2 linked regions of the Drosophila melanogaster genome follow. The protein of the gene in region 2 interacts with the protein of the main gene of each other region in a pairwise test. Each region holds a gene or a part of one and is shown on either strand. Other genes may lie near its edges. The genes, in order: dcma and mfas.

Region 1 (12,730 bases), on a different chromosome or scaffold from region 2:
TTAAGATTATTTACGTTTAAGCCCCTCACTAGGCATATAAATTATAGCCGCACGTTTAAATCAGTTTTCCGAGTTGGCTTAAGTTGCAGCCTGAATTCTGAAACCCGAAGCTCCCAAGGTGGCCTTAAATTTGCGCGGTGCTTCGCTGAAGCGAAATTCCCACTGTGCATTAAGGGTTTGCAAAAAGAACAAACGGCATAATAGGCTGGCAGGACACCTGGGCACGTGTGTGCTGTTGTTTTGACTGGCCTTGCCAGTACTCACCTGGCATAAAATTAAGCCATGACGACGCGCTTGTCGCCTGGCCTGGCTTCTTATTCCGGGGCAAAGGTCGTTTACGGCACGGCCACAATTTGTTGCTTTTTGATATTTATTTAGACGGCGCTGGCGCATGAGAAGTGAAAAGCGCACAGCCCAGTCGGAACATAAATCAAAAGCAGAAGACGGCGGAAAAACCGTGAAGGAAAAGCCGCAGCGGAAAGGGTAAACGCTGCGGCAACAATGGAAATCGTTTTCAGCTGCAGAGCTTGCGACTTAAACTGGTTATTTATGGCAGGCCAAGGGCGAAGAGTTGAGGCTGCAAAGCCCAGCTGGGTTTTCCCGATCCAAACTATTGCCGGGTAAAAAATTGAGAGAAAGTGTAATGTCCCACGACACCAAGAAAAAACTTTTTGCTTTTTGAAGAAAGACACAGGACCCGAAAAGTATGCATTAGCTCACACCTTATGTTCCTATAATTTCCAACCAGTTCAAGCCACTTTCTTACCTAGTGCATGTGGCATTAACGGGAAAGGACATTAAATTAATTGAATCATGGATAGTAACATGGAACCTTGGTCCTTTGCCCTCAATTTCGATGACAGCGATAAATCGTCGGATAACGAGAGCCACTCTTCGACCAGATCCTCGAGCCGCTCCAGTGACACCAGCATAGACACCAGCTCCGTGGAGAAGGAGCCAGCTAGCGTAATTGAGAGCCAGTCTGTCCCTGGCGGAAGCTACGATGTACGTAACGACTTCCCCAATTAGGACGCATTAATCGATCCGTACTTTTCCCCCTATCAGATTATCTCCAAGACCAACATGCTGCAATTTGTGCAGAAAATCGATGCAAATTCATCGCTGGACGATCAAGGTTGCGATATGATGGCCAGAATAGCCGATGCCTTTGTTAACGACATATCCATGCGCATAGTTAAGTTGGCCAAGTATCGAAAGAGCGACGTTAGCGTGCTGGACCTGAAGTTCATCCTCAAGCGGGAGTTCAACATGGAGTTCCCAATTGAATAAATGTCCAATAAAGGGAAAAATAATGTAGAATTTGAAAATTGTGGAATGAATAAAATGTATGAATAACTTGGTTTAAAACTGTCAGAAAGGCAACAAGAATAATTGTTTTCTGCACCTAATTACCAATGTTAACCAGTGCAATTACTTTTTGGTCAATAAAAAAAATTTTATTTTTGGGTCAGTTTTGCATTTTTTATAAGGGGTACCATCATCAAAATTTGCAAAAATTGGCAAAAAATTAAAATTTCCAAATTGGAATGCCAATTGATTTGGGGATAAAATACAAGCTAAACGAGGTATGGCATTCCATATTTGGACAATTGTTTTAAGATTTATGATGAAAAAACTGAATATATTTGGGCGAAAAATCAAAAAGGTCTCTTTTGGCAAAAACGCAATATTTAAGAGTGGTATTTTCTTCACAACTCGCCTAAAAATAGTCAGATAAGTACAGGAATAACTGTTTTCTGCACCTAATTACCAATAGCAACAATTGCTATTACTTTTTGGTCAATAAAAAAAATTTTATTTTTGGGTCAGTTTTTGCATTTTTTATACCATCATCAAATTTTGCAAAAATTGGCAAAAAATTAAAATTGCCAAGTTTGAATGCCAATCGATTTGGGGATAAAATACAAGCTCAACGAGGTATGGCATTCCATATTTGGACAATTATTTTAAGTTTTATGATAAAAAAAAGGCCTCCTTTTAGACTGAAAAACGTGTTTTGCCAAAATATGGTTTCATCGTGAATTTAAAGAATACACAAAACTCGTGTTTAATACAAATTTGTTAGCTGACGAAAGAATTTTATTGAACATAATTGTGAATACCCATTGAGGTATCAATGAGAAAAGGTGCACGCCTGGTGATAAATTGCAAACCGGATCATCATGATTAAGCAATTAATAAATTCAATGGCCGCTGTCAAGAGCCGGACTCACATTCAATAGCCCCTGCAAAGCGGTCATCATGGTCTCGGCCACACTTTCCCGAGGACTTGACTCTCGCCCTTCAGCCGGGAATTACTCAACATAAAGTTAAAGTGCCATAAAAATGCCAGGGCGCATAATGCCACACACTCACACAGTGGCTGAAAAACACTCACATGCTCCCATTTACACACATGAACGGGCACTGGGTTCCTTTTCAGGTCCTTTGCTCAAAATAAAGGATAAGACCGAGGCGGAAATTTCAGAGCGATTTTTTCTCATATTTTTTTTTTATTTGGTGCTGCCTCAAGAATAAAGAATACTTCTTCGCGGGCCATGGGTATAGCGGAAAATGGCATAATTCTGGAGCTTCTCTCTCTGACTCTTAAGCAAACTTGTGGTTTTGTATTCAGAAGATGATCTGTACTTATTTAAAGAAAACCCAAAGGATTTCATTCTATGTCGCTGAATGTTTTGCATTTGCAGTAGCTGCATTTCGTTGTTTTTAAGCGAATTCTGAGATGTAATATTTTTTTTACACTAATTTAATAGAGATTGTAGCGTTTCCCAATATTTAATCAATATCTGATTTGTTTAAGACCAAAAAACACCAAAACTCTTTAATCAGTTGCGTTTTTATTTTATTTTTCCCATTGCTGGACGAGCAATTTATGCAGTTTGTTTAAATTAACTTAAATAAATCATTACCAGCTGCAAATGGATTGGATGAAGATTAAATATATAATTGAGTACAGCTGACCTAAAACAAATGATCAATCCGCTATCAATATTTCAATATTTAACTAATGTGATTCGAAAATTGAAATAATTTATGGTTAAAATCATTTTAATGCTAAGTGAAGAGTTTATAAAAATTTATATATATATCTATTTATGGTAAATTAAGGACCGCAGTACCACCGCTTTTGTAAAAATCCCATTTGGTTGTGGCCAGAAATAGAAATTACTTTTCATTACATTTGTAACCGCCCTCGGGGCAGCCGCAAACGTTCGCAATCATAATCCAAGAACGACACATTGGGGCGCATTTAAACTGATTTGATATTGGTTCAGCGAGTGTTTGTGTGTGTGTGTGAGAATCTGTGTGTGGGCCAGCAATACCAACGCACTTCTGGGCGAAATTCGTTTGCCGTATGTCTTGGCACGCACGCAGGAAAATTCAAGCCGTCGACGAATTCGTTTGGGCGATATTATAATGAATTTGTCGTGCATATTATTCGTACATACGAGTATTCCCCAATCCGTGACGCTCGCGTACGGATAAAATGAGTAAAAGCAGACACAATGTACCACGCCCACTCCATTTGAGGGCGATCTGGCTTAGTTCCGTGGAGATAAGCAGCTAAGTGACTTTGTCCCGACATCCCATGGCCCATGGGCTGTTGACGGTTTGGTTTCGGATTCGTTTTTGGTTTTTCGAAATCGTGCGCATGAAATAAATACGAATTCTCGATGGTGTTGCGGATGATGTTGTTGGTAGATATAAATTGAATTAAAGTGATATCGGTCGCCGCTGGCCGTAATAGATTAACGAAAATGTAGCCAGGCGTCAGAATAAAATAGACGCCATCCAAATTGAGTTATCAGCATAAATCAAAGGCGGTATTTGGGTATTTGTAAGCACATTATGATTAAGCTCGGGTCGCCTGACTGTCGCCCGACTGGATTGAGCCCTCTTAATGGGTAAGTAAATGCAGCAAACAGCCTTTGCAGCTCAAAAGTTTAGAACACAAATTCTTTTTTAATTAAATTCAAGTGACGACCGCCCCTGCATGTCAAACGCGAGGAGAGCGGAAACTTCCGCCTTTGAGCGAGTCATTTTCAAAGAAATTCGCAAGTTATTCATGGCAACTTTGGGGCCAGGGCAAAAACTTGAGTTGAGTGATATGTTACCAAAGAGTTGACGCCGGGCCAGACCGAAAAAAAAAAAATAATCCTCTCTGGTTTCCGGCCAAGGTCAATGGGTTAGCTGGATTGCAATCCAAAGCTTTAAGCGAGATCCGGGTTTTTGGCACAGGACCAGAACCTGCTAAAAATGAGCAATCAATGCCAGTTGATTACCATTTGTGGAGTTCGGGCAACTCACTTGCCGATGAATCAAGTTAATGAACTAAGTGAATTGGAAAAGTTTCGAACTCTCCCAGTTCGGCTTAAGGACACAAGTATTTGACGTTATCCTTGACGGTTTGACTTGACTTGGGCTTAAAACTCAATGCGCAAGTAACTTTAATGTGTATTTAACTTTAAGTGCACAATAATATTTATCTCTAGCTTAATATCCTGGACATTATTACAAAGTTAGCTGAAAGTCTAAAGTGCTCTTTCTGTTTTGTTTATCATAATGCAGTAATTAGCCTCGTCGTACTTGTTTAATTAAAACTTTAAACTTGTCGAGCATGGCATGCCAATATTTAGATACAAATCTGGTTGCTTTTTTTACCAACCTCGGTTGCGTCCACCGGTGCCATTAGGAAATTGAGTATCTGTCATAAAAAGCCGCTTAGGCCAACATGTTTTAGCGCTTTTCATAAGTTTGTCACGTTCAATTTCCGCTGCGGCACCTTTGATAGCTTCGATGAGGAGTATTTAGTTTAATGTATTGCCATAAATTTAATGCATATCCGAATGGCACTTTAAGTCAAAATCCAGCGCGATGGCGGTCAATCCCAGGCAATTTTGAAATGGCGCTTAGATCCGCTTTTACGACCCCGGTGCCAATGTGAACTTAAGACCCAGCTGCTGGCTAAAGATCATCCCACTTGGCCGTAAAGGAATCTTTTGCCAATTTATTTATGCGAATGCAGGACAAGATGGCCAATACCAACTGGCATGAATGAAATTGTGTTACATACGAATCTAATGCCGGCCAAATGGGAGTTAAAAATTTACTAAATCTAATTGCACTGCAATGTGCAATTGTGGCAAATTGTCATCTGTCACGGAAATTGAAGTGTTTGCGTACAAAATCAGGGACATTCTCAAGCGAGTGCGGCTCCTTGGCAGTAACCCCATTACCGCTAAGTGCCATTGCAGAGGGCCAGGAAAAATTACCTGGCGGATACAGGTGGGCACTGTGGCGTGTTTACGTTCACATTCGGAGGTCTATTTCGATCTATTCTCTGGATGCAATCAATCTTGCGAAGCCATCGAGCGGGCTTATGAAAACAAACACTGCTGTTTCAAATTTATACAGCTAACCAATCACAACATCCGCCACTTAAATTGATGTGTGTGCTCTGTGTTTTTAACTTAAATGAAAATCCGCAAGGTTGTATGCAAATAAAACTCAAAACTATTTAATAATGAATTGCCTTTGCTTTTAAATATTCAAGCTTATCTCGTTGCGTTTATACTTATTTTTGAATTGTGGTCTCTAAAAGAAATTGTTTTCAATGTAATTTTGTGTAGGTGTTAATAAAATATCAAAAATACAGAGTCGGTAATGGATTCCGCTAGCTGTTAATCCTTCACCTATTTTTGGCCCACTTTGAGCCTATGGAGCCCATGGTGCTTCACGGCTGTGTTTGCATTTGCATTTCATTAAAACACAGGCAGGTAAACAAGTTGCCGCTCCTGGCACTCACTCACTCACTTACTCACTTGGCTCGGCTCAACCTCAACCTCGGCGTGAACCGCTGAGCGAATATGTCGTACCCGCGACTACGGCGGATGGCGATGATGATGATGACGAGGACGAGGATGAGGACGAGGATGAGGACGAGGATGAGGACGAGGGCGAGAACTACGGATAGTGGAAGCAGTGAGCTGTTGTTTCAGCTTTCAGCTGCTGGCATTGAGGGCCAAATGACAGTGGGTCCTGCGAGTGAAAGCCTCAAAGAGCAAATGGGGGGCGTGATAGGGTGCAGCGTGCACTGCAATTGCAGACGAGTGGATTTCAAGGCGGCCACTGATTGCACGTGGAACGTGACACGCCCACGGGCATTACAATAAGTATACGCCCGGTGTGTTTCAATTAGTTTGCGTTGTGGCCGAATAAACACGTTAAAAGTGCGTGTAAACAAATGGGGAGCGCACAAAAATGCCAGCAGATAATGACGCCATGTCCGTGGGCAAACAATAAAAGCGTCTCCCAAATTAGGCGGCCATATCAGACGGACCTGACCACATTATTCGGCCCGGCAAACAAGCAACCTGTCACTTGTCACTGGCGACCCCCGGGTTTTATTTTTATTTTTTATTACAACTTTACTCTTCCCCCGGGGAAGAGAGAACGGACAGCCCGGGCATCTGGTCAGATAATTTTCTTTGTTTTCCGGCAAATGTTTTCATTTTTTATCCGCTATTTTTCCACCTATTTTATCACGTTTGCCGTCCCTTTTGTTTCGCCCATCCTATCCCCTGTTTACTTTTCACGCACGTTCACAGGCTTCTCGGAAAACCAGACAGGTAGCAATATGCAAATCAAATAGAGGCCAAATGGTGTTGACAAACGTCGCAAAAAAATGTGTATCGGAGCGGGAAAACGGGGCGAATGCGGAATGGAAAATCCATCGGCACAGAGCTCACGTGCATCCCAAGTGCCCTGGGGAAATTCGAGCGGCACCAGAAAGTAAGAACTTCCCTAATGCAATCCCCTCCGAATTCCGGCTTATGACGGCTCGAATGTCGAACTACGTGGCGGCTCGATTTGCCCCTGGTGAAATTTAAATACGTCACTCTGCTGATCCGATTTGAACTTATTTTATTTGCATTTATTTATTCGACTTGCTTCGGTGCTGCGCCCTCTTTTAATCTATTTTGTATTGATATTTTATTTGATCTAATTGATTGGGTTAAGTGAAATAAGGGGCCTTTGTGTCTCGAAATTTAATTATTGTCTCTTTGACTGATGTCGTTTTTTTTTCTTAAATAAAAGCAGATTTTGGTGTTAAACAACAAGACTAATTCTTTATCTTAGTCGAAAGCAGAAAATATTGTTAACTTGTGTTTCCTACGCATGTTTCAGACATGTTAAAGTGGTACATGCTTTAAGTTCACACTTTTACTACACCAACACTTAAAGTTTCTGGGTGCTATTTATGCTTACATCGAAGTTCCTTTCCAGTTGAGTGTCGGCTATTCACATACTGGATCGAGCAATGCCGATTGTCCAGTTCAATTATTGACACATTATCTGCTACTCAGCTCAGCACGCACTAAAGCCGCAGCACTGACCACCGACCATTATTGACTCAGTACTCAATGCAGGCAGTGGCACAGACCGTATCGCGTATACGCCATGTGGCTCGAATCGAAAACCAAACGCAGCTCGCAACTTGACATGCGCACGTCTTTTGGGCCGCGTGTTCTCGCCTCGACGTCTGTTGTGGGACTAAAAGCCAGAATACTTGCCAGAAGCTGCGGCTGTTGGCCAAGTGAAAGCGTTAACATAGACTCGACAGCAACAGCTGCTCTGTTAACTGGTTTGAGCGCTCTTCTGGCCATTCATTCATAATTGTTTTGAGTGGAATTCTGTGTTGGTCTGATGTTTATTTCCCCTTTTGGGAATACAGAGAAAAATTCTGTGCATAAATAAATATGTATTCCTTGCAAAAAGTAAGCCCTAAGTTTTTATGAGTTAGAAACGGAAAAGAAAAGACTCCGTTCCTCAGATAAAGATATTGCATTTATAAATGTGCTTTATATTTTATAAACGTATCGATTCATAAATATTTTCCACATAAAAATGAGCAATCGAATTGGCCGAAATTCGGATAACTGGTGATCATAAAACCCTTGGCTTATGAACAGAAAAGGCTATGCAAAACTGGCAATGGTTATGTGACTGATGCTGATATTGTTATGTTTTTCTCTCGCTGTGCCAGATTGTTTTGTTGGCAGGACGGAAAATCAATTTGGCTAAGCCGAATGCGACGCTGGGGAGCAACTGAGTTAGCGTCATTCCCGCCACGTGCCTCGCAAATGTTAATGAGCCTGCGTGCCACTACCACAGTCCTTATTTTTATTATGGCCCACTACGATTTCTATGAATACATGGCCTTACGCACTTATGCAAAAAAAAAAAAAATAAAGGGAAATGTTGACCTTTCCCGCGCTGTCAATGCTGCTGGCCAGAGAAGCATAACAAACAAATGCGCGTGAAATGTCAAAATCACTGTCTGCCAGGAGAACAAAAAGCAGAGTAAAAAATAAATACGGAAAAGGGAAAACCCGTGGAAAATGGTAAAAGGATGTGGAAAGATGACGACGCATAAGCGAAAAACAAGCAAACTGCTGGGGGCGAGGCAATCAAGAAAAATTTCTCCAGCAAATGGCATGGCAAATACGAACAGCAGCAACAACCGCAGCAAATTCAAGTGGTTGCAAGTGGTGCGAGAAGTGTGGGGCACGGAAACGGACACGAGTTGATGATGAGGTGGTGGCCCATAAACACACACATGCTAGCCATGCTCTACCAGCGGTCTTAACAAGGCTCAAGTGAATTATAAAAAATAAATGCTCCAACGAGTCCCGAGTCTGTGATACCCGATATGTGGCTGCTATCACTGAAAATTTATATCGGTTTTATATATTAAAGTTTATAAAAATTATGAAATATTTCATTCTCTTAATTAATAAATATTGTATATTTTTTTTCCATTTTACATAACATTTCTTCTTTATCATTTAAACCGGTAAAGATAAAGTTTTGGCAAAAAAGATTTATCACATAACAAGGTAAGCAGGTTTAAACTAAGCCAATGTAAAGCTCACGCTAGCCAGGCAAATAAGCCACAAATAAAGATTAAGCCAACGTACGTGTGCAGAAGCACTTTAAAAGTAAATAAAATAAGTTATTGATAGTAAACACGAAGTGTGCTTTAACTGAACTCCAGTCAAGTAGTGGCTGTATTTCTTGAACTGCAGCTCCCGCAGTTTTTGGCCAGAACAGAATGTTCAACATGCTTTTTATCCAGTGCCACTTTTTTTCGAACAGCAATTGCTGAGGGGCAAGTAAACCGCTGGTAGCTTGTGTGCGGTTTTGTTTGGGCCCCCGTTTTATCCTGTGGCCATCAGTTTTGTGTGAGCTGAGCATAGGGCCAGGAAGCCAGATACGAAATGCTTCGGGCTTAGAGCAACAAACTCGAAATTAGCCGCAAGTATTACACCTCCCGCTGTGCCACATGTTGCAAGAGAAATGGCAACGACTTACAACTGCAACTTTCTGTAGCCACAATATGTCAATTTGTCAACACACCCGCCACGCAGCCAACGAGATGAGAAAACATTCTGGCGGAAAAATAGTGCACAACCTTTGCGGTCTCTGGCTTAATGCAACTTTTTAGCGCAACTTTTTAATTAGTTCAAGTTTATCGTCAAATTTGCATGCACAAACTTTTGCCGGGGCAACGCTGCGTATGCTTAACATGTTTCGTGCATAGCAACTGAATTGCATTTGTGTGCCGAAATCAATGGCATTAGCATTTAAAGGAGAAAAGCACAGAAGCTAGTAGCAGGGCTTACTCGCCTGAAATAACAATGATTTAAAACAAAGCATTAGCAGAAGGCTCAAAGGCTGTCACAAGCAAATTATTTTCGCCACTGGAGTGCATCATTAAAAGGGGATCAATTCACGCAAGAGCGCATAACAATGCAGCCAACGAAATCTTTCTGTTTCAGCCAAAGTCAAAGTTAGCCTTGGATTTCGGCCGTAAGTCCCAATTAATTGCCTGCAATTCGGTAACTTAAGACCATCCGGTTCTCGAAGAGCTTTGCATTTATATGGCGGAGACGTTTGTCCTTATGTACTAACTCACAAGTATACAGTACAGTTGGATTTGAAAATGTAAATGCGATGCAGGCGACAAAAATACGCTCCACTGCGCTCCCTCTTGATTTTAGTTTCGGGGCTTCTACTTTGTTTCATTTTATTTTATTTGGTTTTTTTCTCGCTTCGGAACACTAATGAGCATTTAAGCTTGCGGCTTGTCATGAATTTTATTTTTTTTTGTGTCTACTACAGCTACTGCTGTTGCATTTGCATAAATTGTATTTCCCAAATGGTACGGAGTTGAAAAAATAAAGTTGTTGCTTTAATTTAATTGATTTGCATTTTTAGTGAATTTTAACAAGTTCAACAAAAGGATAAAAATACTTTTCGGTGCAGTATGGGTTCTCACGTGCGTTTTATTGGCCAGCCAAATTCATTTCGCACAAAACAAATCCCCCAGTGTTTTCCTTTTGATTTTCAGATTAGTTTTTCATTGATTTATGGGCCATGTTTTATACAACTAGAAGTGCACACTTTAATCGCGCCAAATGTTTGGGCTTCGGCTCCCTTCGTTTCCCCAATTTTTGCTTTTGTTTTTTCTCTCCCACTGTCCGTTTGTTTGTATCTCATTCTGGGCCATTTAATGCGTATACGCAGTGTGTGCTGGCATTTCTTGGTGGCCACAAACGGAAGCGCTAAACCAAACATAAAAACAAACAGCACTCCTAATCGTGTGTATAAATGTTTATGCTCGTGTGTTGGCATAGTTTTATGTCTCAATTGAAGCGCTCTGCCTGGCCAAATAAAAATAATCAGCAAGTCAATATCCCGATGGGGAGCGGAAGAAACCCCTAAATCTTTGTCTATTTCCGTACACTTCATTATCGAGTCAGTCTTACACTCACTTCTCTAGAAATTTGTGTTGATGATGAAGTGGCTCGGTTGGCGGAATTAATCCATCCCATGAATGATCCATGATTGCCAAGTAATGGAAAAGCGCTTAGTTAATTGTGGGGCATCGCACATGGTAGCTGTTTCGATAGAAATTGATGGCGACACGTGTTGAAATCGAATTATACGAACATAATTCACTCGATTATTTCTGTCTATCAATTAATTACCAACCTGCTGATGTGTCAAATGCTTTCGAATTTATTGAATGCCATTGCTGCATTTTTGAGCCGTTTGCCTCTAAATGTTTATGCAGTTATTTATGTGCTCTATTATTTTCTTCATGTTTTATAGCTCCACTCGAAAGCATAATAAATCAATGCTAAGATATGTACCACATTATAAAGTTTATGCAATTTAACATAGATTCACAAATACAATTTAACTATGTTCAGAATCGAAATTTAAAATTTAAGTGGTAAGGTTGCCAAGCTCTTTCATGAGGACAGCAATGTGACCAATAATCCTTTTGATTTTTGATTATTTGGCTAATAAGTTTCTCACGTGCTTCCCTTCGACGGTGTTGCCACATAGCTACAATTTTGCATTTCATAATAACGCTTTCACACAGGAGCTTAAGGAGAACAGGTATTGAAGGCAAATTTCGTGTTCATTTCCACTGTTCCACTTTTAACGCGTATAATGGAAGTGCAGAATTCCAACATCTGGCAACGACGCAGGAAACTCGTGGCTTTCCTTGAACTTTTTCCTATTAGTCGCGACTTGATTTAACTTTTATTTAAGTACCCAGTACTAAAATATTTTACCCAACAATAATGTCCGAAGTATTGCAGCGCTTGGCTTCCACTGAAGTTAGAAGTAGGTCAGGGATTTGCATCTTACACAATTACCATAACCAAGTCTTCCCACAGAGGCAAGAGATCCAATAGATCGGTTCCTGGAGCGACGTCAACTCTTTCGGAAGCATATGCTAGGGGATGCCTCGAGTCTGTTTCGAGTGGTCGCTGAGCAGGTGTACGACACCCAGATGCTTCATTACGAAGTGAGGATGGAGTGCGTTCGCTATATGTTCACGAAATGGAAGACCTTCCGGCGATTTGTGAGTGGAGACTTCGACGAGTACTTGTGGCATTTGGGCAAGACCAAGACGGCGGGCACCATACTGGAACTGGGTGCCATGTGCCACCTGTACCGCCGCAATGTCATCATCTACGAACCCTTCGATATGGGCCGGATGGTCACCTACAACAAGGACTACAAGGAGATCCTACGTATCTTTATGAACAGCATGGGGCATTTTGAAACCGTGCTGACTATGCAGGACGTCGATATGGCCGCCGTTTGCCAGTCTGTGTCCTTCAAGATGCTTTACAAGCACCTGTTCCGCCTGCCAGATGTTGATCTCGCTGTGGAATGGATGCTGTATCCAGATACCTTCAAAATGGGCACTGAATATGAGTTCGACTCGCGCGGCCGCGCCATCCGTTTGCTGTGCCGCAACGGACGAAGCTTCAAGCTGGATCGCCCTGAGAGCACCATTTGCTTGCTTGAAAACTCCCAGATGTGCCCGTTTCATAATCGCAGGCTAGCAATGGGCGGACAGTTTGCCGACTTTTCCTGCATGCGGATCCTTCTGGAGGAGAACAACATTCCCTTCTCCTATTTGGTAGCCAAGTCAATGGATCCCTGTAGGTATCGTAACGTGGAGCTGACTAGCGCGATTGAAGCTCGTCGTGAAGCGTATGAATTTGGTATTTACATAGGCGACTATAACTTCAAGGTGGGAGCTAAGTGCCAGGTGCAGTTGGATACCAATAGACGCGATCTGCTCAGCGCTTGTTACATCCAATCGATCGATAAGAAG
Region 2 (12,825 bases):
TGTCAAAAATAATTGTAGTTTAAAAGCGCTTTAATTAAAATGGGAGAATAATACAAACAATAAAATTTAAAAGTAGCAAGTAGTAATGACTTTCACTTTAATAATATCCTGGTTTTTTAAGCAAACTGCTCATGCCCACTGTTCGTTTAAAGTTCAGCCGACATGTTCTGATGCTTTGACATTTGAGAGCCTCTCCTCTAATCCCTAAAACTATATTTTTTATCCTTAAAAAAAAACATCAAACTTTGGGGCCTTTCAGCACTTTGGCTCCATTCCAACTCCAAGCAAACAGAGCCGTCGTAATCATAACAACGATGAGCCCTAAGTGCCTAACCCACCTGTTGATTGTGGCAAACTCGACATCAATTGAATTCAAATGCATTTCGCTAAGTTCAATTGAATTGCCTCTGCACTTTTCTGCTCGATGCTGCAATGTTTGCTTGTTTGCGGTTGTCGCCGCCGGTGGCAATCAATTGAATTACATGTTTGTTGTTTCCTGTGCGCATCGCATCGTTAGAGGTCGCCACAGTTTTTACCATCTATTGCTCCTGTTGCAGCTGCCACTTCGACACCATCCGCCCCCCCCCCCCCAACCTTCTTTCCCCGACGGGCTTAAGCCACCAGGCCAGGGGTTTATTTGCATGGCAATTTCACTTTACAAGGCGTGGCATAATCATGCGTGGCGTCAACTCGTTAGAGATATTCGCGGCATGGGATGTTGCACTTAAAAGTATAGGAATAAAATCTAGTTGTAAGAATGACACGATAAATTTATATTACAATTAAATTAAAATTAACTTAACCAATGGTTTTAATATTAAATATCTCAAAATTCATTGATTTATAAAATAACTGACTGCATCTAATATGTAAAATAAATACATGCATATACATATATCAATAAAAATCCTATAATCATATATCTACACAGCTGTAACCTTAAATCAAATTCATGGGATTTCAATTCCTCAGTGTACTTTGCCCCACTTCGTCCTTTGTGTTTGCATTTTGCATCATGAGTTGCAGCATCAGCCGACGTTGCACTTGCACTCGATTGCATCTCGACTAAAGGCCAGTACTCATGAGCATCCAAATGTATATGGATACTTCCGCAGATATTGGTGCCACTAAAAATAGGGAATTTCATTGGTTATGATCTTACATTTGCATAGAATTTAAGTATTATTTTTGTGTTTTTTAAGCCCGATACTAATTTAATATTTAGTATTATACATAGTTTGTATTATTATTTTCTCAAATACAATGTTGCATAAGTGTGTATGTTGGAAACCATTCTGTTTCCCACCAAGCTCCTTAACCTATTCACACCACTCCGCGAACCGTAGAACACGAGTACAAAAAGGTCAAGTAGACGCCGCCGCGGGGAATTTGCGAGTCTAAGTGCACTAAAGCAAGTATATGCGAATAGCAAAAAAAAATAAAAAAGGAAAATCAAAACAAACAAAGCAGGAAATGAAATGGAAAACATTTTTAAAGGGTTACACACTTCATACGCGTTTTCTTTATAATATCTGTAGTAATTTTTGTATTTCTGTAATTGCATATGTGAGGTAGAAAATATTACTAAGTATTTATAAACAAGCTAAATTCATTTAATTTATATAAAACAGCTGAGTAGAGTCAAATTAAATTGACATAAATAAAAATGTGGCAGAGTGATTATATTTAACCTCTTCTGTAGTTATAAGCCCTTTTTAATACCCTATGTAACTATTTTCCAGCTAAAAATGAAGATGTATCAACATTTAGTTGTGATAATATGTAATAAAATATCTAGATATTTATCTGACATTAACATTATTTCCTAATTACACATTGTAATAAATCATCGATTTTCTCCCCAATTTCGCTTTTCCAGCAGCGCATCGATTTCCACGCCCGCCTAAAAGCTCGCCACATCCAATGCGCCCTCTGAGCGGTTTGATAGCGCTGGCGCTGCTGCTGCTGCTCCTGCTGACGGCACCATCGAGTGCGGCGGACACGGAGACGGAGTCCTCCGGCAGCCCGCTGACGCCCGGCGCCGAAGAGCCGCGTCGGGTGGTAAAGCGGGCGCCCACGTCCAGCTTCATTGGGATGCGCGGCAAGAAGGACGAGGAGCACGACACCTCGGAGGGTAACTGGCTGGGATCGGGACCCGATCCGCTGGATTACGCCGACGAGGAGGCGGACAGCAGCTACGCGGAGAACGGGCGGCGACTGAAGAAGGCACCGCTGGCCTTTGTTGGCCTGCGTGGCAAGAAATTCATCCCAATCAACAACCGCCTGTCCGATGTCCTGCAGAGCCTGGAGGAGGAGCGCCTGCGGGATAGCCTGCTGCAGGACTTCTTCGATCGCGTGGCTGGGCGTGATGGCTCCGCGGTGGGCAAGAGAGCGCCCACCGGGTTCACGGGCATGCGAGGTAAGCGACCCGCCCTGCTGGCCGGGGACGATGACGCGGAGGCGGACGAGGCCACGGAGCTGCAACAAAAGCGGGCGCCGGTCAATTCCTTTGTGGGGATGCGCGGCAAGAAGGACGTCTCCCACCAGCACTACAAGCGTGCAGCTCTCTCCGATGTAAGTCGACTTACCTTGCAGTTAGTTGTTGGTGGCAAGTACAGTGGTTTCTCTTGATGCGCTTATTAAAACACTAAAACCCCATTGCAAATCAGAGTGTTAGTCTTTTTTTGAATAATACATAAAAGAAACCATTGAATTGCATATCTATACATATGTGAAGATCTAATCGACCCCAGTTCTGGCACACTTTTTTTAAAAAGTCCTATGACTTGAGAGGAAAACAGCAGCGCTTCGCCGACTTCAACAGCAAATTTGTGGCGGTGCGTGGCAAGAAGAGCGATCTGGAGGGCAACGGAGTCGGGATTGGTGACGATCATGAGCAAGCTCTGGTGCATCCATGGCTCTACCTGTGGGGAGAAAAGCGAGCGCCCAACGGATTCCTGGGAATGCGAGGCAAACGGCCAGGTACATATTCACAAATTCATTTAACCAAAATGTATTTGGTTAAAAAGCTGTTGTATTTCAAGCTTAAGGTGGCAACCTATTATTAAGGAAGCTGAATAAAGTTTTAAATTAATACATTTATTATTTATTGCTCGCCAATGGGGGGAAACCCAATTTTATACCCAATTAATTATAGATTTTGATTATTCTCTTCCTTTCATCGACACAGCACTTTTCGAGTAGGCGATGTTGAGCGATTTGATAGATCTTGATGGAAGTTCCTCTTAGAGCTACAAAACTAGGAAATGCGAAAGTAGATGGACACAGGGGACCGGGAGAGCAGATTTGGAAACAGAAAATGGATCACATGAGTGTTTTAAATAATCACTGGGCTGGAGATTATTTCAAACACGGACACACAAAAAACACACGGCTAAGAATTTGCTCTGTTTGTCGACACAAAATTTCAGCTTAATGTATAACGAGACTTGCGAATAATTTATTGGGAATTTATTTGAAATTGAATGAGATGCTTCGATGAGTGTGTGGATTCAATTGTACTATTTGCATATCTAAGTGTAAACTTTTAATCAAAATTATGATGAAAATTAAACTAGAAGAAGTTCAAATGCACAAGATAAACAGAAAAGTGGGAAAGTAATTATTTATTTAAAACAAATATATTTAAAACGAATATACTTAAAGATACATTTCAGTTGTGGTACATCTACGTATACAAAATATATATACACCTACATTAATAGCACAAATAAATATTGTAAATAATGAATAAATATTTATTTCAGAAACGGATGATTACGATTTTTCATGGTTTTTCAATAACAACATACTTTGCTTGACTTTGGTAATAAGTAAAAAACGGGCATCTAATATTGACTAAAATCAAAACAATGAGCAATCAAATATAAGAACACATTATAAAGTCTTCTAACAGTTCCAAGAAATTCAATTTCATCTACACATGTAGCTACAAGCTGACATCTTGTTTATACAAAACAATAAAAACCGATCGGAACAGTTTCAAAATATGAGGAGACTCCTAATAAGGCGGAACCGACCAGACACCACAGTGATTGATGGGTGTTAGAGGTTACGGGAATATCGGAAATTCCAAGTGCGCACTACACCTGGCTAGCAAATACAGGTAGGACATTGCCAGAAACGCTCTAGGTGCAGTTTAAACAGAAAATGATTCTAGGAAATTGAAAATACTCGAAATGAATAAGTAGTTTGAAATGCTCGCCAAGCCAAAGTCTGAAATGATATGAGTCCTATATTATAGGATATATTCTTCAGATTCTACACCGTTTTAGTTTGGGTTTTGTATCCCAAATTCTACAGTATTTTGAGTGAAATGTACTATGATTAATAAAAGTGCTTCGTTTCGCTCGCTTCTCTATGAAGTGTTAATAGCTGGCACTTTCACAATTTGTACGAACCTCCTGCCACCCGCACTATTTGCATATACATATGTAAATACACACATACATACATATATAGAGCTATTACCGATTTCACAGCGTCCCCAAAAGTTCTCTCTGTTCTCCCAAAGCTCCCATGATCACTACATGCGTTGATATCGCGGCAGAGGAATCGACGGCGACTGCGGCAGAGCAGCTTATAAATACCAGATGCTCGACGTTCTTGGGCAGTTAGTTTTAAACTGCGACTTGAAGCGGCAACATCGTCGGATCAAGCAACATATAACAACTTTCGTGAGTGCCACAAGTGCCCCTTTTTTACGATTAACTGCAGTAAAAGGAGCCAGAGACATTTGATAATTGAGTGTGTGCCAATTTTTGTAAAAACAAGACAATTGACAATAATTACAAGTGAGTGACAGGCGGTATATGTCGTCTATCCGTAGCATATTTACAATTAATGCGTGAAGACAGTGGAAAATTTTCTTCGTCGACCGTCGCTCTCACTCCCAAAATCAGTCACCTACATACGCGAGTGCAGCGCTGCGTGGAAAACCTGTATTTCTTCGGTTTCTCAGCTGTTTTTCCATCCATCGCGGTGAAATTTCTCGAATCCAACCAGCCATTCAGCCAGCTTCAGCCATTCCCTTGATTACAGCAACTTTCAGCTTGTCTCGTTCATTTACTTAGCTCCCAACCGAGGCTCCAGATTAAAATTGTGATACCAAACATGCTACGGCTGTGGGCCTGCCTGCTCCTCCTGGGATCAATCCAGATCCAGGCGGTTCCATTCTACGGCGAGTGAGTATCAATCCGACAAGTTTTTCGTGCTGTGTAGTAGCGTTCGTTTCATGCACATTTCACGTAGTTTGAGTTGTTTGCGTTGCGGGCTAAATGGTTAACATATGTACATCGACATCTTCTGATAAGGCATGAACTAAATGTTTTATGTTATCGGAACACAATTGAAATGCCAGGAATGCCTGGGACCCACAAAATTGAAATACTTCTCTAATTAAACATATACAATTTCATAGAATCATTGGAACAAAATTTTACCTAACAAGCGCATCCCAAATAACTAAAAACGGAAAAAAATTAAAAAAAAAAAAACACTTTGAAAGAAATACAAAATTAGATCTAAATTGAAACGTTTGATACCATCCATAACAATGTTTATAACAATATTAATGTAAGCCACGAGTTAAAAAACAAGTATTTTGCCATTATTGAAGTTTTACAATAACGCTTTCAAATATATTTTTGAAGACCAATTGGTAAAGTTTCCAAATAATCGTTAATATTAAGTGCTTAAGTCCCATAGAACTAACCCTAGTAGATTTTTCCCATCCGCCCGACCTTTTAAATCTGTCCCAATAAACGAAATGTTGAATTCCAGTTCAAGTTCTGAAGAGGTTGCCGAATTCGATGACTCCTCGGATTCCACACACGAGTCCTCAGATAACTCCAGGTGAACTATAAGTAAACGTAGTTAGCCCAGCTGTTGAGTCCCCAACATTTCCCAGTAGATTTGCTCATTTACAACTACTTAACAAAGCAAACATACCGACGAGGTTTACATGTTAAACAACTTAAAAATGCTTAAACAGTTTCAATATTTTTTTCACTCACGGGTTCCGCTGGGCCCACTGACACCACATAAAAGTTGGCTAATACCGGGTTCAGTGTTTTTTATGACATTTTCAAGCCCAACGAGGCACCGAGCCCTGTTTGTTCTTGGAGAAACTTTTCGCCCGCTAAACGAAACTGCAAATAAAGTTGACCGAAATGTTTATGGTAGCGAAGGCGCTGAAAGAGCGAAAAGTTCCCCCGGAAAGAAAGTCCAAAAGCCCGCCGAGTATTGACCTCAATTGATAAACCTTAAACTGAAATTGTTGAGTCGCAGAGATTGTCTGCCAATAAATCCGCATCGAACTGGGTTCTTTGCCGCCATTGGAAATGTGCAAAGGCCACGATCTGAGTCTTTGGCTTTTATTATTTTTTTCCCCCTTTTTTGCGAAAGATACTGCATCGCAAGAGAACAATGTGCAACCAAAGTGGGGCAACACCGCGGGACTTGGGCAACCAAGATCCACATCTTCTTCCACCGATCTTCTCCGTTCGCTCCACACTTGGCTGACTTTGCCACCTTTGGGTTCAAGCCGCCGCAGGGCTCATCTTTGGCACACAAATCTCGAACAGTTTTGGCCCTGAGAGCAATTGACATTTGACACGGCATTAAGTGGCATATTGTGGGTAATGGGTAATGCGCCGGCAAAAGAATGTCTCCGCAAACTCTATAATCTGCCCTCGAATTGGGTCGCCCACAATTTGGTTCCCCCTTTAACGCTCACAGAATGTTTTTTTTTATTCTGCCTGTCACGGCTGCGCTTAAATTAAATCAGGCAGCCATTTGGTTGGATCCATCTCTGCCCTCGACGTAAACATTTCCCTGGAAATTTCTGTGGCCAATGACTTTCGCTCTGGCTTCAAGCGAACAGAATTTAGTTTGTTTGCAAATTATATTCGATTCACAGATTGGATACGCAGTCTACAAATATTCCAAGTAGTCTTGAATACCATGATCACAAAACAAATACTTCACACATTCATTAATCTTTCACAAAGTACTTAGTCATTGAATTACTGCTAAATGGATATATTTAATATCTTATCAAACAACATACAGTTGATATTATATTTTTGCACAATTTTTAAGATGAAGAGTAATTATTCTAAGATTTCAAAAGTCATTCGCTCTATTGTAAGATTTTTTATTTCTTTATTCAAATCTGTTCATATGAATGTATACATTTTGAAATATTATTTGCATTCAATAATCGACGTACAGTAGTTAAAATAATGAAAAAGAAATAAAATTTTTGACTTATTTCCAAGTAATATAAAATATTTATGATAACGTTTTGAGTAAATATTCTTGCGAATAAATTGTGAATAAATTAAGTGTTCCTTTTTATCAAATATTTTGATGGTTTTTTGATTGATGGACACACAATTGATTTAAACTGAGGTGCATTCACTCGCTCTAGCAATATTATAGAAGTGATTTCCAGAGAATCTGACAAGGTAGAAAGAGAAAAAAAAAAATCAAACTGGCCAAGCCTCTATGTATTGTAATGTCGGCTTAAACCGCCTGTATCTGTAGCTCAGCCAAAGCCGCTTCGAGCCCTGTCGATCACGTCCCGCCTGGATGAGTCATCTTGGACGGAGGCAGATCTCCAACCAGAAGTGAATCGGATACACAGAAGTACCTCAAAGTCAGCAACCCAACAAATTGTTTACGTTTCGCCTTTTCGGGCAGTATTGTTTTATTATTTATTTCCAGCTAGTTTCGTTTCGTATATTTTTTTCATTTAGCACTTATTATGAGCTTTTTTTAATTAGCTCCCGCGAAGCGAATTTTAATGAGCCGCAGCGAAGAAAAAAAGATTTGAAGTTGGCTAACGCGTATGTATGTCTTCATAGAAAGTATCTGAGTCAGTTTACAGATTTCGAATGCATTGGGAGACGCAGAAAAAACCAAAATCCGTTGACATAAATCTCAGTTGATGGATGACAAGTGCAGGAACATTTCTCAAGTTTTGTTCGCCTTTTTCAGCGATTGTTTCGGCACTTAAAAAGTTATTTTCATTTGATTCTAAAAAGAGTTCCACTGACAGGCGCTTAGTATGCGGCTCAGGTAAATGCTGCGCAAAAAACCTAAACAATGAGCACGATCAGCATATATACTACATACAGATAGATACATATATTTAGTTTGGTGAGGATAGAGTTGAGCTTCTTTTTATGCGAGGTAACAATGGAGGCATATGAATTATTGGGTCCCGGTTCCGTTTCGATTCGTTCCGCTCACCAATGGAATTTGCATGAAGGGAACACACACAGACACACACACACACACACACATATGGGCACACAGTAGCCAGCTAATACTGTATACACTAACCACATCACTCTACACCACGTCCACTCCTACGCCCACTCCCACCGTTCTGCAGCTTTATGCCACATTTAACCCACCCATTGCCGGCGCATCGCAATCTGTTCGCGCCCCTGCCCTTCGCACCACTCGCACCGCTCGAGCCCCAAGATCCACTGCATGCCCAGGCCTCGCAGCGGATGGCGAGCGTCTGGAACGGACCCGCCCCGTTGGCGCCGCAACTCCACTCATCTCACCTGTTGCCCCTCTTCAGCAGCGGATACGACACCGAGTTCGTGCCACTGGAGCACCAGCAGCAGCCGCAGGGACGCCAGGAGACGGCGGCCACCGTTCCCGCTCAAACCCCCAGCGGTGTGGAGCAGAAGCCGTTCAGTAAGTGCTCTATATCTCTATAATATACATATATTTAGATATTCGTTTAAAATTTATTAAAATAGAAATCCCAAAACTCTTTTAATTATTTCTGTTGCAATTGGTTTCTAGTCCAAATCTGGAATAAAATCTGAATTTAAATCTGAAATTGAATCTTAGAAACGACCAATTTATAAACTACTTTGCAAAACAGCAAGAGGTAGCCATTCTTGATCAACTATGCTGATCGCTTAATTATAGTGATTTAACAATGCCATAAAAATTGCACTCGCAAAATTAGTATCTTGAAGAATATTATGTGCAAGCTTAATCTCAGCGTAATTTGAATTGTTACTAAAGAATATTTTAAGTGTCTTAAGCAATTGTTAAATTTTATAGTATGGTTTTAATTGCGTTTCCTTACTTCGCAGATGTGGACACCATCACCACGGATGTGAATTCCCCAAATCCGGCCATCTTCTTCCAGCAATCGTTCCCCTTCTTTGGCAATGAGTTCTTCAATTCGTTCGGAGGCTTTGGCTTTGGAGCTGCCCAGGAGCCCTGGTGGAAGGGGTAAGTGCCATCCATTAAGGGCATTTGCCCCCACTTGAATGCTAAAAAAAAAAAAAAAAGTCCCCCAGTTATGGTCACTAATTTGGCGTCTTTCCTAATCGCCGCACTCGAGTGATTCTGTGGCCAACTTCGCCGTTCTTGGCATTTGGCAATTAAGAGAGCACAATGTCAAGTTCATACGACCCATTAACTATATGATTGTATGGTATATATATTCTATAATTGTGTAAAGTTGGATGGGTTATCGCCATCATAGAGGCAATCGAGCATATCAATTAAATGGTAAATACCTACTTAAATAATTTTCCATCCAAGATTATTCGCAGCTGAGGCTGCTTAATAATTTTCCAGGGCTCGATTGCTGTTTTTTTTTTTAATTGCCCAACCAGATATGGCATTGTATATAGGGAAAAGTGAATGAATATATAGATATATAGTGTCTATATTGGATAAGTGCACAACTGCACGGTTTCTACAGCCGAGCTTGCACTTTTATAAATTGTGAAATCCACTTGTCGTCTTTTTTGCACTGTGCGATGAACTCGTTACTGCGCGGGCATAGTAAAATGAAAGTCACAGATGTGGCAAATTGATAAATTAGCTGCATTACAAACATATGTATGTATGTATGTATGCGACTGTGTATCTATGGTTCAGTGAGAAATTTCTAAAATCTACGCACACAATGAGTTCGCATTCAGTAGACTCCTCTCATCGCTGCCATAATTGAATTGATGGACTGGCAAAGCTGTTAAGCCAACACACATACGCATTTATATAAAAGTCAGTTTGTATAATATAACTATGCTTTCTATGTGCCGGACTCATTGTGCAAATCCATTGGGCAAACAATCGGTTAGCGAGTGCCGATCAACCGACTAAGTTGGATTGGATTCGGAGTTGTGGATATATAGGAATTTAGGGTTGAATCAAAATTATATACATATATGTATAGTGGTATATAGTGCTATATAGTGCATTGACATTTCGATTTGCATGTCTGTTATATGACCAATTCATTAGCAGGTTTGGCTATAATTTGTAGAGAACGTAAAGGGAGAATGATCATCATAGATTAAATATAGCAACAAGTTATTAGTAATTGCTCATTGAAGATAACTTATAAAACTAATGATTTGAATATATGCCTGAAATACACTATTTTTAAAGCTTATGTATTTGAGTCTCGAAAAACGATTGCCTTGAATTATATTTGTTCATTTCGCCAAACTATTACTACATCACATTGTTAACCAATAACCAATTTTTCGCTTTATTCAGACCCAATGTGTGCACCGAAAAGGAGGAAGACGAGACTGTGGCCAGTGAAACGGAGGCAGAAGAAACCGTGGACACCTTTGGCCAGGAACGTGATGGCGTTACCAACGTGGTGCGATCCCCACTCTTTGGCCAGTTCCAGTTCAGCGTTAACTCCTGCGCCGAGAAGCCCAACAAGCACGTCTGCACCAAGATGTAAGCAGATTACAGTAGGATTACCTAATCTCATCCAATTGATTGAACACTTTATCCCCTGCAGCGTGAATCAAAATGGCAAGAAGAAAACGCTGACGCTGACCCGCCAGTGCTGCTATGGATATGGACGCCCCAGAAACGCTGACTTCACAACGCCCTGCGAGAAGATCGACATCAAGGACGTGGAGGCCACGGCCAGTGACATGGGTGCCAAGCAGTTCCTGGAGAGTGCACGCACCGCCGGTGAGCTGGCCGATATGCTCGGAGCAGGCAGTGGCAAGAAGGTGACCCTCTTCGTGCCCAACGACGCCGCCTTCATGGAGTACCGTGGTCATCATCAGCAGGAGAATGTGAGCATGCCTTTGGTTACTAAAATTCATGTAAATAAATGAGAATTCTTTGCGTACAACAGAATGTGGAAGATGCCAAGGCCGAGGCTTCCAAGCCATCCATCTACAAACTGCACGCTGTTCTCGGCGAAGTTCAGCTGGAGGATGTGCCCAATGAGAAGCTTCTGCAGACGGAGCTGCCTGACCAGAAGATCCGCATCAACAGCTACCAGCTGCCTGCGGCTTTGGGCCTGGAACCCTACCGCTTTGCCGCCAACTGTGTGCCCATCGAGAAGCACGACAAGCTCTCGGAGCAGGCCCTTGTCCACACTCTGGGCGGAGTCCTGAAGCCGCTGACCAAGAACCTTATGGATATCATCAGGGAGCGTGCGGATATGTCCATTATGCGCACCGTTCTGGAGAAGACCAACCTGAGCGCCATGCTAGAGGATGACAAGCCAGTGACCATCTTTGTGCCCACCGATGCCGCCTTCGACAAGTTGGAACCTCATCTGCGTCGAGCCCTCAAGGAAGGTCGCGGTTGTGCCTCCAGTGAGTTGGTCTGGAAACTTATCCACAAGCAGCTAACTAACTAATATAATATGATTCCCATTTATCCGGTAGACATCCTGAAGAACCATTTGCTGGACCTCACCTTCTGCTCGCTGGCCACTGTTCCGGGTGCCAAGACGACGGCCTACAATCTACTGGGAGAACCCCTGCTCCTCAACCGAACCCACCGCGCTGCGAATCAGACTGGACCGACTCCCATCTACATCAATAACTTGGCCAAAATCATTGATGCCGATATCATGGGCACCAATGGTGTGCTGCACGTAATCGACACCATCCTGCCCACCGAATCGGCTCTGCCCATGACCTCGCTGATGTCGCAAAAGAACCTGACCATCTTCCAGCGATTGCTGGAGGCCTCCGGCTACGATGATCAGTTCGACGATCTGGACAACGTGACCATCTTTGCACCAACTGACAAGGCTCTGCAGAATACGGAATGGGCTCGCATGCTCAAGGAACAGCCGGAGCTGCTGAATCATAACTTGGATCTGCTGGAGTTCCTTAACTACCATGTGGTCAAGCCCATGATCAAGACCTGTGACCTGTCGGAGAAGTCCCTGCCCACGGTTGCTGGATCTAGTGTGCGTCTGAACCTGTACTCCACCCATGCTCTCTTCTCGGACGTGATGAACCGGGCAACGGTAAACTGTGCCCGTTTGGTGCACTTCGATGACGAGAGCTGCGGATCCGTTCTCCACCAGGTGGATCGTGCCTTGGCGCCTCCCAAGAATGTGAGTTCTACGAGGTTATCACGGAATTTAAAGCTTATGCTTATTTGTAAATATTCCACAGAACATGCTTAAGCTGCTGGAGGCTAATCCCAACTACAGCAAGTTCCTGGAGCTGGTTCGTAAGGCTAATCTTACACAGCTGCTGTCCAACGATTCGAGGAGTCTCACCCTGCTGGTGCCAAAGAACGATATCTTCGAGGAGCTGAACGAGTCCGGTGAGGGTTCAAAGCCCGCCGATCCCATGGCCTTGGTCAAAACCCATATCGTTGAGGATGTTGTCTGCTGTGCCGGCATTATCCCAACCAACTGGCCATTTGTCCGCTCCATCGAGTCCATCTCTGGCCAGCATCTGCGTATCACCCGCGATCGTCGTCCCAAGATCGAGAACGCCGGCGTCACCAAGTGCGATGTGGTGGCCACCAATGGAA

Evidence for each region.
Region 1: the proteins of mfas (region 2) and dcma interact in a two-hybrid assay, tested with the Drosophila melanogaster proteins (one large-scale study listed by BioGRID).

What each region holds. Positions count from the first base shown.
Region 1 is NT_033779.5:4,689,552-4,702,281, reverse strand, and holds the start of dcma (decima), read right to left. Parts: upstream 7,562-12,730; 5' UTR 7,291-7,561; intron 1,448-7,290; exon of another isoform or gene 1,291-1,447; coding exon of another isoform or gene 1,066-1,290; intron 1,006-1,065; coding exon of another isoform or gene 814-1,005; exon of another isoform or gene 797-813; intron 1-796. Other genes in the region: Taf12L (TBP-associated factor 30kD subunit alpha-2), read left to right, coding at 814-1,005, 1,066-1,290; CG3251 (uncharacterized protein), read left to right, coding at 11,682-11,724, 11,778-12,730.
Region 2 is NT_033777.3:11,985,121-11,997,945, reverse strand, and holds the start of mfas (midline fasciclin), read left to right. Parts: upstream 1-4,630; 5' UTR 4,631-4,697; exon of another isoform or gene 4,698-5,093; 5' UTR 5,094-5,133; coding exon 5,134-5,204; intron 5,205-5,802; coding exon 5,803-5,874; intron 5,875-7,943; exon of another isoform or gene 7,944-8,092; coding exon of another isoform or gene 8,093-8,103; intron 8,104-8,422; coding exon 8,423-8,736; intron 8,737-9,146; coding exon 9,147-9,288; intron 9,289-10,569; coding exon 10,570-10,761; intron 10,762-10,825; coding exon 10,826-11,111; intron 11,112-11,173; coding exon 11,174-11,642; intron 11,643-11,714; coding exon 11,715-12,397; intron 12,398-12,458; coding exon 12,459-12,825. Other genes in the region: Tk (tachykinin), read left to right, coding at 1,924-2,574, 2,754-2,982, 3,191-3,204.